3 linked regions of the Cricetulus griseus genome follow. The protein of the gene in region 2 interacts with the protein of the main gene of each other region in a biochemical or structural test. Links are inferred from orthologs where the notes say so. Each region holds a gene or a part of one and is shown on either strand. Other genes may lie near its edges.

Region 1 (3,567 bases), on a different chromosome or scaffold from region 2:
AACTCACAGAGATCCACCTACCTCTGCCTCCCCAGTGCTGGGATTAAAGGTGTGTGCCACCACTGCCCAGCTCTCTCTCTCTTTTTTAAAGATTTTATATTATGCATACAACATTCTGCTTCCATATACATATCTGCACACCAAAAGAGGGCACCAGATCTCATAACAGATGGTTGTGAGCCACCATGTGGTTGCTGGGAATTGAACTCAGGACCTCTAGAAGAGCAGCCACTGCTCTTAACCTCTGAGCCAGCTCTCCAGCCCCCCTCCTACTATTTCTTAAAAACATTACTTACTTTGTTTATTGTCTCCAGATGCAACCTCAGAAAGATACCTAAAATAGTCTCCTTTCATTTTCAAGTAGAACACCTTGCTTTCTGGCTGTGTAGCATTGGGAATGAGATATTTGTCCAACAGCTCCTAAAAAGTGATTCACATTAAGAATTTTGAATTGTTTCTGAGATGTTAAAATTACATTTGCGATTCAAGATATGCACTACTACTACTACTGATTTTTCTGAAGACTAAAAACAACAACAAAAAAACCCCCTAAACCAACAAACAGAAAAACCTAACCAACTTTCATCCAAGCTACTAAATACCGTTTAGCCAAGTCCTAAGAGCAGAAGCCTGTACCCTTCACTTACAAGTCCTCTGACCACCGTAAGGGCTGGCTATAATGCAGCTACTACAATGGGATGCGATATAAAAAGGATGGCACAGAACTGCATTGCTCACACAAATCTAGCTGGAAAAGACTATCAACAAAAGAATCTCACTTTAGTATTAAAATAAGCATGGGTACATGCACACAAAAATGTGGGGAAGCCTTGGAGGATTCTAGGAACAATGCTTCTCTGGATAATAGCATTAGAAGTGACTTTTAGTTCTTAACTCTTCTGTCCATCTTGTAGAAACAAACAAACTCCCCCCCCCCCCATTTAAACTTTTATTACTTCTGTAATTTTGAGTGTGTGTGTGTCTTTCTATTCTGGGAAGGGAAAAAAAAAGCAGCAATAGAACAAAACAGCAAGAACTCAGTTTAAAATTGATCTGACCTGGGAAGAAAACCTTCTTCTGATGCTTACTGTTTGTTTCCACATGACCTGGAGAGGAGGCTGAGGACCCCAAGCCTCAGATTCCTTGGTTGTACAGCGGGGAGGGGCAAGGGGACCAGCATGGCCACCTTCTAAGGTAGTTATAAGGACAAGCGAGGTAACATCTAGTGCTTAACACGTTGCTTGGCACGTAGTAAGCACTCAGAGAGTCTAGTACTATTATTAATAACAAATTCCTTTAAACATTTATGCTTACAACAAAAGTAGTTCTGAAGGAGTCCAAGCTTCGTATACAGAGCAATATTTTCGAAGAGTTGTTTTAGAATGTGGCATCCTGAAAAACTGGTTAAGAGGCAGTAAGTACCATGCTCTTCTTCATACTCTTTCAGATGCTCTTAAAAGCTGGTCTACAATTCAGGAATTATGGAACTCTCTTGCCTTTGGAATGCAAGCCATACTTCATCTGAATACCAGATGTACCTAACATTCAGGAATTAGTGCACCATTAACAAACCCCCAAACAATCGACAGGCAAAAAGTTTAGCCATGAAACTTTTATCTTACACTAAGAATCTAATAAAGAGAAAGGCTCAAAGCACAGCTCAGCTACCAAGGATTTCATTAATCAATGTCAAAGTATGCAAGAGGTAGTAGCTGTTTTAAAGTACTGTGCAGAAGGGCGTAACCCCGTGGGTTAAGGGTGAAGAATGCGCATGACAGCTGACAAGCTTTATATTGGTTTTCAAAAGAAGATGTCAAGGGAGGTAATCTGGGAAGACAGAGAGTAGGGCAGGAAGGAAATCAACAAGTGTTAATCCCTTTCCCTTTAAAGCAGCCCTCATAGTTAAGTTTTACCTGATTTCACATAGGAAATAAAATTCCCAGTGTGCTCCAGATATGAGCGAAAGAATATAATCATTAAGTGTTTTAGGACTGGCAACCCTCCCACCCAAGCCCACATGTAGTTAGAAGGAACTACACCTGACTATAGTATACATAACACACGGGAAAAGCCCCATACCACCTTTGGTTTGGCTTTGGACTGTACATTGCAGTTGACAGAATGTGCCAAACCTTCAACATCAGATTGCTACACTTTGTGAGGGCAGGACCAAGGAGAGGCTGAAAGGCCTTTCCATCTCTTCCTTTCCAGAGACGATTCACTCCCTAGAGCAACCCACTCGTGACTGCATCTTTCTAACTAACCTCTCCATCTGGCCTCATTTCTAAAGAAAAATGGAGGAATGTTGATGAAATGTTATGTTTGTTGCAAGCCTTTTTGAGAGGAGAAGGAAAACATCCCAGAAATGATCAACTGATCAGAAAGGATGATAAAAATTATATCATATTCTTTAGATCAAGTTACAAATGGCTTTCACTCTTTCCTAAGTTGTTTGAGTTTGTATCTGGACCATGATGCCTAGGATGAGTGTGAAAAGCACAAGTGCAGCCCTCACCAGTACGTCATTGCAGATGTCCTGCAGCTCAGCCTCTATCTTCTCACGGTACTCTTTGCCCATCTGTTGCTTCTTCTCATTCCTCTCTGTTTTCTGTTCGATGCTGGAGATAACACGCCAGGAAGAACGGCGGGCACCTACCACATTCTTGTAGGCAACAGAGAGTAGATTTCTCTCTTCATTGGAGAGTTCATGTCCCTGTTCTGTTACAGCCTTCATAGCTGCAGCCATATCATCGTAGCGCTCAGCTTGCTCAGCAAGTTTGGCTTTCTGTACCAGCTCACTTTTGTCCATGGTCATTCCTAGAACAGCAGCAAGAGCACAGAGAAAGCAATGTCAGGCTACCAGCATACTCAGAAGCACAGCCCCCAATGCCATCAAGAATGTGGATCATGTACTGAATATCTACAGTCAGGACTGGGCTGAGGCCTTTGTTACCAACAATCCTACATGGAATATTCCCAATAACCCTTCCACCTTCTTAGAAAACATAAATATTGGGGCTGGAGAGATGGCTCAGCGGTTAAGAGCACTGACTGCTCTTCCAGAGGTCCTGAGTTCAATTCCCAGCAACCACATGGTGGCTCACAACCATCTGTTATGAGATCTGGTGCCCTCTTCTGGTGTGCAGATATATATATGGAAGCAGAATGTTGTATGCATAATAAATAAATAAAAAAAATCTTAAAAAAAACACATAAATATTAAGAGAGAAAATAATGGACCCAGAATACCACCGCAAATAAGAGTTAAGGCTTTCAGCTTGCCTGTCTCTTCTTTCTATAACTTGCTTGTTCCATTATCCTACCATCCTCCCCGATACACAGAAACTGCTGAGAAACTACTTGCTTTTAGACATTTCCATGTTCATGCACATGGAAGAGTGCACACATGGACACGTATGAAGAAGAGAGGGCAATTGTTGGAGCTGGTTCTCTCTCTGCACCATATGGGTTTCAGGGATTGAACTCAAGTTTGGCAACAATCTCCCTTTCCTGCTAAGCCATCTTGACAGTACCCTCAACAACTTTTTTTTTTTTTTTTAAGTTTAA
Region 2 (4,246 bases):
TTTCTGTAGTAGGGATTGGAGCCAAGTAGCCACTGTAGCACCGAGCCTTCTTTATCCCCCCCTCCCCCACCTTAGTGGTTTCTCTTTTTAGAAATCGGACCTGGAACTCGATCAATACTGAGACTGGCACTGAACGCCTGATTTCATCTCCCCCCACCTCTGAAATGCCGTGATGACAGCCATATGCTACTGGCTGGTTTGTGGGACTTTAGGTTGTTTGTTTTTTGAGACAGAGTTTTCTCTGTGTAGCTTTGGAGCCTGTCCTGGAACTTGCTCTTGTAGACCAGGCTGGCCTTGAACTCAGAGATCCGCCTGCCTCTGCCTCCCAAGTGCTGCGATTAAAGGCGTGCGCTAACACCCCCGGCAGCGCAGGCGTTGTTTTTAAACTTGGTTTTCTGTGTAGCCATGGCTGTTCTGGAATTCACTCTGGAGACCAGGCTGGCCTCGAACTCAACAGATCCGCCTGCCTCTGTCTCAGAGTGCTGGGATCAAACTGGTTTTAATGGCCACTGTGCCAACCACCGCCTGGCCCTTTTTTATTTTTAGTTTGTTTTTTCGAGGCAGGGTTCCTCTGCGTAGTCTTGGATGAACTGGAACTCGCTTTGTAGACCAGGCTGGCCTGGAACTCAGAGATGCGCCTGCCCCTGCCACCTAAGTGCTGGGATTAAAGGCGAGCCACACTATCCTCTGGCTAACCCCCTTTTTTTTTAAGTTTTTCGAGACAGGGTTTCTCTGTAGCTTTGGAGCCTATCCTGGCACTCGCTCTGCAGACCAGGCTGGCCTCGAACTTACAGAGATCCACCTGCCTCTGCCTCCCGAGTGCTGGGACTAAAGGCGTGCGCCACCAACGCCGGGGGCCCCCGTTTTACTTCTTAAGACAAAGGTCCCACCATGTTACCCAGGGGGCCCTAGAACTCCCTCTATAGTAATTTTTGCAGCCTCCTGCCTCAGCCTCCCCGAGTGGCTGTCCTAACTTGCGTACGTCTGTCTCTGTTTTCCTCCCGGCCTCTGGCCATCTCCGTCTCTTGCAGATGTCTCTCCCCGCCCCGCCCCGGTGTGTCTCACACGCCCACGCCCTCCCGGGTCCCTGCCCTTGTCAATTGTCCCCGGGGCCCTGCCCCCACTCCTCCTACCCCAGCTCCCTTCCCGATCGTCGCCAACCTTCCAAAACTACTCCGACGCCCCGCTAACCATCAGGGTGACAAAGCCCCGGCTACACCGCCCCGAGACGGGCCGGGGCTGCCCGCGAGCCGAGTTGGGGCACATTCAAGCAAAGTAACGAGCCAGCCGAGGGGCGGAAGGGGCCGAGTCCCCCGGTGGGCTGGGCTGACCCCGCGGGGGCGCGTCCGGGAAGCGCCCTTGGCCACGCCCCCGCCACGCCCCCCAGGCCGCAAGCTCTTATAAAGAAGGAAAGCTCGCGCCGCCGGCCACAGCCAGACTTGTGCGGCCCGAGCCACGGTCTCCTCCTCTCCACGGCCGTTCGCGCCACCATGGACCTCTCTGCCATCTACGAGGTGAGTGCTGCCCGCACGGCACTCCCGAGTCCTCCGGAGCCCCAGCCCTGCCCTGCCCTGCCCTACCCTGACCTGCCCGGCTCGGCTCCGGGTGGTGAGCCAGGGGCGCCCACGAGCCCGGAGCCCGGCGCCTGCCGGCCCCGGGGACCGAGAGCTGGCGCGCTGGTGTCACTGGCGCGGGGCGGAAGTGGCCCCGCACCTGCCCGGTCCCCTCGCCCGCCTCGCGCGCCGTTTGTCGCCCCAGCTAGTGTAGGGTAGGGCTGGGGGGAGTTGGAGAGAGAGAGAGAGAGAGAGAGAGAGATCTGGTCTGGGTCGGCTTTGACCGGTCCCTCCTCCAAGTTTGTGAAACTGGAGCGCCCATGGGCGGTCATATCCGGGGAGGTCTAGAGGCCCGAAGTTGGGGCGCAGTTGTGTCCTCTGATTTGGGGGTGCCGTGTCTGGCTCAGTCGGGGACACCGGGCTTCCTGGGTCCTCCTGGCTCAGCTTCGGAGGCGTGGAAACCCTCAGATCCCCCACCATCAGGTTCTCCCCCGGACTTGGTGTGATCCGGGTGGGGCTCAGCACCCAGAACCCACAAACCGGAATGGCAAGCTTGTGAAGTTATTTACAAACCGGGGCGGGCGGGGCGTCGTCACCTCACCTTTTCTGGTGGCCTAACCGAACCCTGTTCCTCTCAGAGCCTCCTGTCGTTGGGCCCAGACCTGTCATCCGACCACGGAGGGACCGACCCCTCGGTCTTTTGGAGCATAAACTCGTCTGACTCCATCCCAGCCGGGGTCACTTCCCGCCTGACCGGCCGCTCCACCAGCCTGGTGGAGGGCCGAAGCTGCGGTTGGGTGCCCCCACCCCCGGGTTTTGCACCCTTGGCTCCCCGCCCGGGCCCTGAACTGTCACCCTCACCGACTTCGCCTACTGCGACTCCCACCACCACCACCACCACCGCCTCCCGGTACAAGACCGAGCTCTGTCGGACCTACTCGGAGAGCGGGCGTTGTCGATACGGGGCCAAGTGCCAGTTTGCCCACGGCCTGGGTGAATTGCGCCAGGCCAATCGACACCCCAAGTACAAAACGGAACTCTGCCACAAGTTCTACCTCCAGGGCCGCTGTCCCTATGGCTCTCGATGCCACTTCATCCACAACCCCAACGAAGACCTGGCTGCCCCGGGCCAGCCCCATGTGCTTCGACAAAGCATCAGCTTCTCGGGCTTGCCCTCTGGCCGCAGAACCTCGCCGCCGCCACCAGGCTTTCCTGGCCCTTCCCTGTCCTCATGTTCCTTTTCACCCTCTAGCTCCCCACCACCACCCGGGGACCTTCCACTTTCCCCTTCTGCCTTCTCTGCTGCCCCTGGGACCCCTGTGACTCGAAGAGACCCCGTTCCAGCCTGCTGCCCCTCCTGCCGAAGGTCAACCCCTAACACCATCTGGGGGCCCTTGGGTGGCCTGGCTCGGAGCCCATCTGCACACTCCCTGGGATCCGATCCAGATGACTATGCCAGCAGCGGCAGCAGCCTGGGTGGGTCAGACTCACCCGTCTTTGAAGCTGGGGTGTTTGGGCCTCCCCCACCCACTGCACCCCCAAGGCGTCTCCCCATCTTCAATCGCATCTCTGTTTCTGAGTGACAAATGCCTAACTAGTGTGGGTCAGCTAGATCTCAAGAGGGTTGCTTATTGTTGTGGGGACCTAGGGGGGGACTCCTAAATCCCTAAGTGCCTCCCTGACATTCCAAAATGCATTAACCCACTCCCCTGGTGCTGTGCTGGGGCAGGTCCCTAGTTTGCAAATTCAGTGTTTGGGTGTATTGGTTCATGAGGTACCTAAAATGTAGCATTTTTGTGGGGGACAGTTGACAGTTGGTCTTCCAGGCCCAACTCTTTTGGGTTGCTTCTGAGATAGGGCTTAGTATAGAGCCCAGGCTGTCTTTGAACTTGAGATAATCCTTCCTTAGATTCCTAAGTTTTGGTGTTATATAGGCATGCACCAGCCCCCTCCCCAACTCTGGTCTCCTGGAATCTTAAGTGCTGTGAAGAGCTGGCTCCCACAACCCCATCCCAGTTTTTACTAGACCCGGAGTTTCAGTGTCTGGTGGTTGAAGCCTCCCCTGACGGAGAATCCTGGTGCTCAAATTTCCCTCCGAAAGCAAATAGCCAAAGCCATTGCCAAATCCCTTCTCCAACCAGTGGGCCCTTTATTTATGACGACTTTTATTTATTGTAATAAGATTTTATAGTATTTATATATATTGGGTCGTCTACTTCGTGTTTTCTTTTTGTAATATTAAAATGGATACTGTATTAAGTATACTATAATATATTAAGTAATATATTGCTACCTTACAGGTCTATTTTTGTGGTTTTATGGAATTTTTAAATAAAATCCCAAGTGCGAACTGAGATGGAATTGCTTTATTTTCACGGGCCACAGCTGTGGGATGGTGGGCAAACTGACCTCCAGCCTCGCCGGGCAGCCTCTGGGCGCTTACCTGGCAGGAAGTGACGCTCCCCTCCGGTTGGTTCACCTGAGGGGGCGTGGTGAGGTGAGGTCACCCAGCAGAAACCAGGAGAGCTAGTTCTGGCGTTGGGGGCGCTCCAGGCCTGTCCCTCCGGCTCTTGACCCAGCTCGGGCAGGGACGGGATGTTTCCGTCCCCATGAGGCCAAGGGTGGAGGGAGGGGAGGGGCGGGGCGGGGAGGACGGAATGTGCCGGAACGCGAGCCGGGGCGGCCAGGGGCAG
Region 3 (4,133 bases), on a different chromosome or scaffold from region 2:
ACAGAAGCCAGACGAGGTGTCTGAATCCCTGGAACTGGAGTTACAGTTCTCTGTAAGAGCAACAAATGCTCCTCCTAACTGCTAAGCCATCTCTGGATCATTCTTAAAGCTCTGGTTTTACTTACTAGCATGAACCTATGAGCAGCCTTTATTTCCCATCATATCTTAGGGCTACAAGACAGCAGCCTTCCAAAACCCCATGAGAGCCAGGCTGCTTGGCTACACTATGCCCTGAGTCCCTTGCCATGGGGCTCAGGACACTACAGAGCACAGGTCTCATCTTATCAATCCAAAGGGTCACCAACACAGCCTGTTCCACTATATCCTCTTCCCTTGCTGTCCCATAAAAGGCTCCTTGTTTTGACATTGTTTCACTACTCAGCACCTAAAGTTTTTAAAGTATAAACTGTAGAAATCTCTGTGGTGCCTGTCACTGAAATGGGATTTCTTTTAACCAGATTCCCCAGGGTTGTGATTATGACTTAGTCAATATTTGGGTAGGAACATGCTGGTGACTGCTGTGCTGACATTCTCCAAACATCTTGGCTCTCCTTCCTTCCTCTATTATTAAATCTTAACACATAGATGTATGAGAAATCTGCAATTTAACAGTTGAGTCAGCTTCTAAGATCCAGGAGCAGGCTGCCTGTCAAAACAGACTCCAACTTCAATCTTCACCCACTTCTGACTACAGAAGGATAAGCACAAGGATTGTTTAATATGCTGCTAGGGGTTTTCTTTTCAAAACTATTCAAAGGAGGAAAAAATACACAAACTTCTCTTTGTTAATTATACCAGAAATCTTAAGTGACAGCCTAGGATAGTGTGTGTGTTTAAGCAGAACAGGAAGGGAGAAGGGGGTTTGTTGTGAAGTCCTTATATTGTGTTCCAACTATCCAGGAGAATGAACAGCCAGAGTACCCCAGTCTGCTGATCCGTAAAGGCAGATGGCATCTCAGAGGAGGGAGAAATCTTTCTGGGAAAGAACATCTGTCACTTCCTCAACAATACAGTTAGCTGTGGTCAAACTGTGCACTCACCTCCAGTCCCCAAGGTCAGAGCCACATCATCCCAATCAAGTCCTTTCCTCACTTAGCTACTAATACGGATGGAAAGGGAAGTGAAAAGTACAATTATTGCAGTATCCAAGGCAGGGTAAGAGTCCCTCCCCTACACTCAACACCAAGCAACAACCAAGATCCTGCAGCAAGAGCTTATAGAAGGGGAAAAAAAAAAAAAACTGATGCTGAGGATGAAAATAGCAAAAACATTATCACAGAAATTAGACTTATTTGCCCCCTACAAAGTACCGGGGTTTTAGTCCCGTTGATGGTATATGACAACAGTCTCACCCGCAACTCATGTGTAATATATAATAACTGAAACAAAGCAAGCTGTGTGGGCTGAAGGGGAAGAGAAAAATATAACACAGGAAGTAGTTCGCTCCTCCAATCATTGAGACACCCCAGGGGAAAGAAACCTGACAAGTGACCTTTAGAGATATGGCGTAACTTGAAACCCTTGGGAGAAGAAAACTTTGTAGTGACCCTGAATGACAGACTAACACTTCACTGGGACCTTTTGAAATCCCCATTCCCCACTACCAAAGAAACAGAGACACAAAGACACAGAAAGAAACGGATCCACCTAGAGAGATGAGTGGCTTTCCCAAACACAAGAACAGGGTTTCCTGCCTTGAAGTTGCCAGCTACCAGGACCAAAGTAGGCTTGCAGAACTAGCACTGGGCCGAGCCTGGCTTACGCATGAGGTTTCCCACAGTGCATGGAGCAATGGAAACCGCGCGGCGGAGCCTGCGGGGCAGCGCAGGCCAGACGCTGGCGGTTCCAGACAATCGCGGGGCACGGAGGCGGGGTCCCCAGTCTCCAGCGCCGCGCCGACGCGCCCCACCACTGCGCGCCGACCTCGCGAGGCCGGGGAGAGCGAAGTCACTTTCCGGCTCCCAAATAAGGAGCAGGGTTAAGTAAACCTCAGAGAGCGAACTTCTCCAAACCGACCGACCAACCAGCTCAATGAGTAAAGGGCCTTTTGTGCCCGCAGAAAGGAAGGAGGGAGGGAGAGGGGATGGGGCCGCCGTGTCCTCGGCTCCGGGCGAAGAGAGAAGAGGCCGTCCGGGACCCAAGCGTGACCACGGGCTGGATCCCACTCACACCCCAACATGGCAGTCCCCGGGAGTCCTCTCGGGTCCCGGCCACTCGCGGGGTGACCGGAAGCTGCCCCGGATCCCATTGCGCTCCACGGCGGCCCGGACTTACCTTCAGGGCGAATTTTTGCTGGGTTCTCTTGTCGAAGATCCGCAGCACCTTCCCATTGATGCCCAGGCCCAGCACCTGGCTGGTGACCTTGTAGTCATCGGTGATTGCGTTCTTTCGGATCTGCAGGCCCGACTTGACGTGGAACTGGGGGAACGGCGGCGGCGGCTGGGCCGGGGCGGGAGGCGGCGGGCTGGGGAACGGCGCCGGCGGAGTCTGGCCGGGAGAGCCGGACAGCATGGTGCCCGGGGACTCGCGCGCAGAGGCGGGGGCCGCGGCCGCCCCCTCCTCCGGCTCGGGCCCGGGTCCCCGCCACGCCCCGCCCGGCGGCGAAGTTTGCTCCGGGCTGGAGCCGGCTGCCCCGCCCCGGCCCGGCTCCAGGCTCGGCGGGTCGCGGGGCCCCGTGGGTCCCGCTGTGCGCCGCGGGCGCCCACCAGCCCTGCTCCCTCCCCCCGGAGACGAGCGCTCCGGGGAACGCGGGACGGCGGGGCCCGGCCGGGGGGGAAATCGCCGCGCCGAGAAGTAGCAGCCCCGGGGGCGGCGGCCGCGTCACAGGCTGCTCGGCGTCCTGGGCTAGTCCTTAAAGGGGAGGATCGAGGGTGGGGCTTGGGGGAGGCGTGGGCATGGGGGAGGGGTGGGCCTTAAAGGGGAGGATGTCCAGCGGCGGGAGAGCAGAGGGACCTAGTTGGCAGGGACTGCGAGCTGGCCCAGGTCAGGGAGAGACCACCGAGAAATCCTAGTTCTTAACCAGGGCCTGGCAAAGGGAACGGCGAGGGCAAAAGAAAAGCGACTGGATAATTCAAACAAAATCTGTAGTTCTCCAGCTGCTGGAATCTAGAAGATAGGTCATCGGAGAATTTGGAGAGGATGTGTATTTTGAAAGAAACGAATGGCTGATAAAAATCTGCCTACGTGGCCCCTAGGATATGTGGGGTACTGGGGCAGCGATAGGGTTACCGAGGCTATTCATCAGGTGTCAGGCAATAGTAACGATTTCCTTAACATTCCTGTGCCTTTTACATTTTTTTTCTCATGGGTTTACTGTTTTTCATTAAAAATGCATTGCTGTGCAATCATGAACAATTCAGTTATTGTGCTTTGAGCATATTTTTAATGTAAATCCAAGATGGGAAAAAGATGGGGCACTGTGGACCCCTGTAATCCCTGCTATGCACAGAAAGCTGAAGCAGAAGGATGACAAGTCAGAGGGTCAGCCTGAGCAACAAAGGCACAGTATCGCAAAACACCCACAAATCACCGTGCCTCTCCAGTATATACCTTTTCATTGTTTCTGAATTCATGGAGCTAACATAGCAAGGGGGAAGGGCAGGAGACTGGTTCTAGGGTTGGGGGAATTTATCCCTGAGGCTACAAACAGTAAGAAGTATTTCTGAAGCAACCTAGTTCTAGTACAAGTTTCTGAGGAAAAGGGGCCTCACTGGCCCATAGTGTAGCTGAGATCCACAAGGGTTTGACTGTTAGAGTGGTTGAGAAATGAAATGAAGGAACAAAATAGCTACACAGTTCCAGTTTACTTACAGATACAGACAAATTAGAGATGGAGCCTGACCTATGGCCACAGACAGTCTCTAATGTGTTCCAAGAAAACTCTGGAGATGAGGCAGTATCCTGAGAAAAGGGTCTTGGAGACATAGCCTAGGAGAGTAAGGCTCTTTTGCTAGTGTCTACTCCCTGTTCAGATTTTCAGAAGACGCTTGTCCCAAGGAAGGCAGAGATGAAAAAGTGAAGGACTGTAGTCACCCTTTCAGGATCCAGCAAAACTCACTGTGGAACAAGGAGACAACTGGTCCCCTTTCAAGTAGCACTTTCTTCAGTACTGTGTTCAATGCTCTGTGCTCAGC

Evidence for each region.
Region 1: the proteins of Zfp36 (region 2) and Ywhab form a complex in vitro, tested with the Homo sapiens proteins (2 studies listed by BioGRID). The link is inferred for Cricetulus griseus from reciprocal best matches to the Homo sapiens genes ZFP36 and YWHAB.
Region 3: of the proteins of Zfp36 (region 2) and Mapkapk2, one has a biochemical effect on the other in vitro, tested with the Homo sapiens proteins (2 studies listed by BioGRID). The link is inferred for Cricetulus griseus from reciprocal best matches to the Homo sapiens genes ZFP36 and MAPKAPK2.

Annotation. Positions count from the first base shown.
Region 1 is NC_048599.1:15,508,065-15,511,631, forward strand, and holds part of Ywhab (14-3-3 protein beta/alpha), read right to left. Parts: intron 2,818-3,567; 5' UTR 2,816-2,817; coding exon 2,516-2,815; intron 421-2,515; coding exon 297-420; intron 1-296. UniProt on the Homo sapiens protein: Adapter protein implicated in the regulation of a large spectrum of both general and specialized signaling pathways. Binds to a large number of partners, usually by recognition of a phosphoserine or phosphothreonine motif.
Region 2 is NC_048602.1:7,508,760-7,513,005, forward strand, and holds Zfp36 (mRNA decay activator protein ZFP36), read left to right. Parts: upstream 1-1,404; 5' UTR 1,405-1,490; coding exon 1,491-1,514; intron 1,515-2,191; coding exon 2,192-3,136; 3' UTR 3,137-3,907; downstream 3,908-4,246. Other genes in the region: putative uncharacterized protein FLJ46214, read left to right, coding at 1,032-1,404. UniProt on the Homo sapiens protein: Zinc-finger RNA-binding protein that destabilizes several cytoplasmic AU-rich element (ARE)-containing mRNA transcripts by promoting their poly(A) tail removal or deadenylation, and hence provide a mechanism for attenuating protein synthesis.
Region 3 is NC_048598.1:57,962,731-57,966,863, reverse strand, and holds the start of Mapkapk2 (MAP kinase-activated protein kinase 2), read right to left. Parts: upstream 2,817-4,133; 5' UTR 2,512-2,816; coding exon 2,275-2,511; intron 1-2,274. UniProt on the Homo sapiens protein: Stress-activated serine/threonine-protein kinase involved in cytokine production, endocytosis, reorganization of the cytoskeleton, cell migration, cell cycle control, chromatin remodeling, DNA damage response and transcriptional regulation.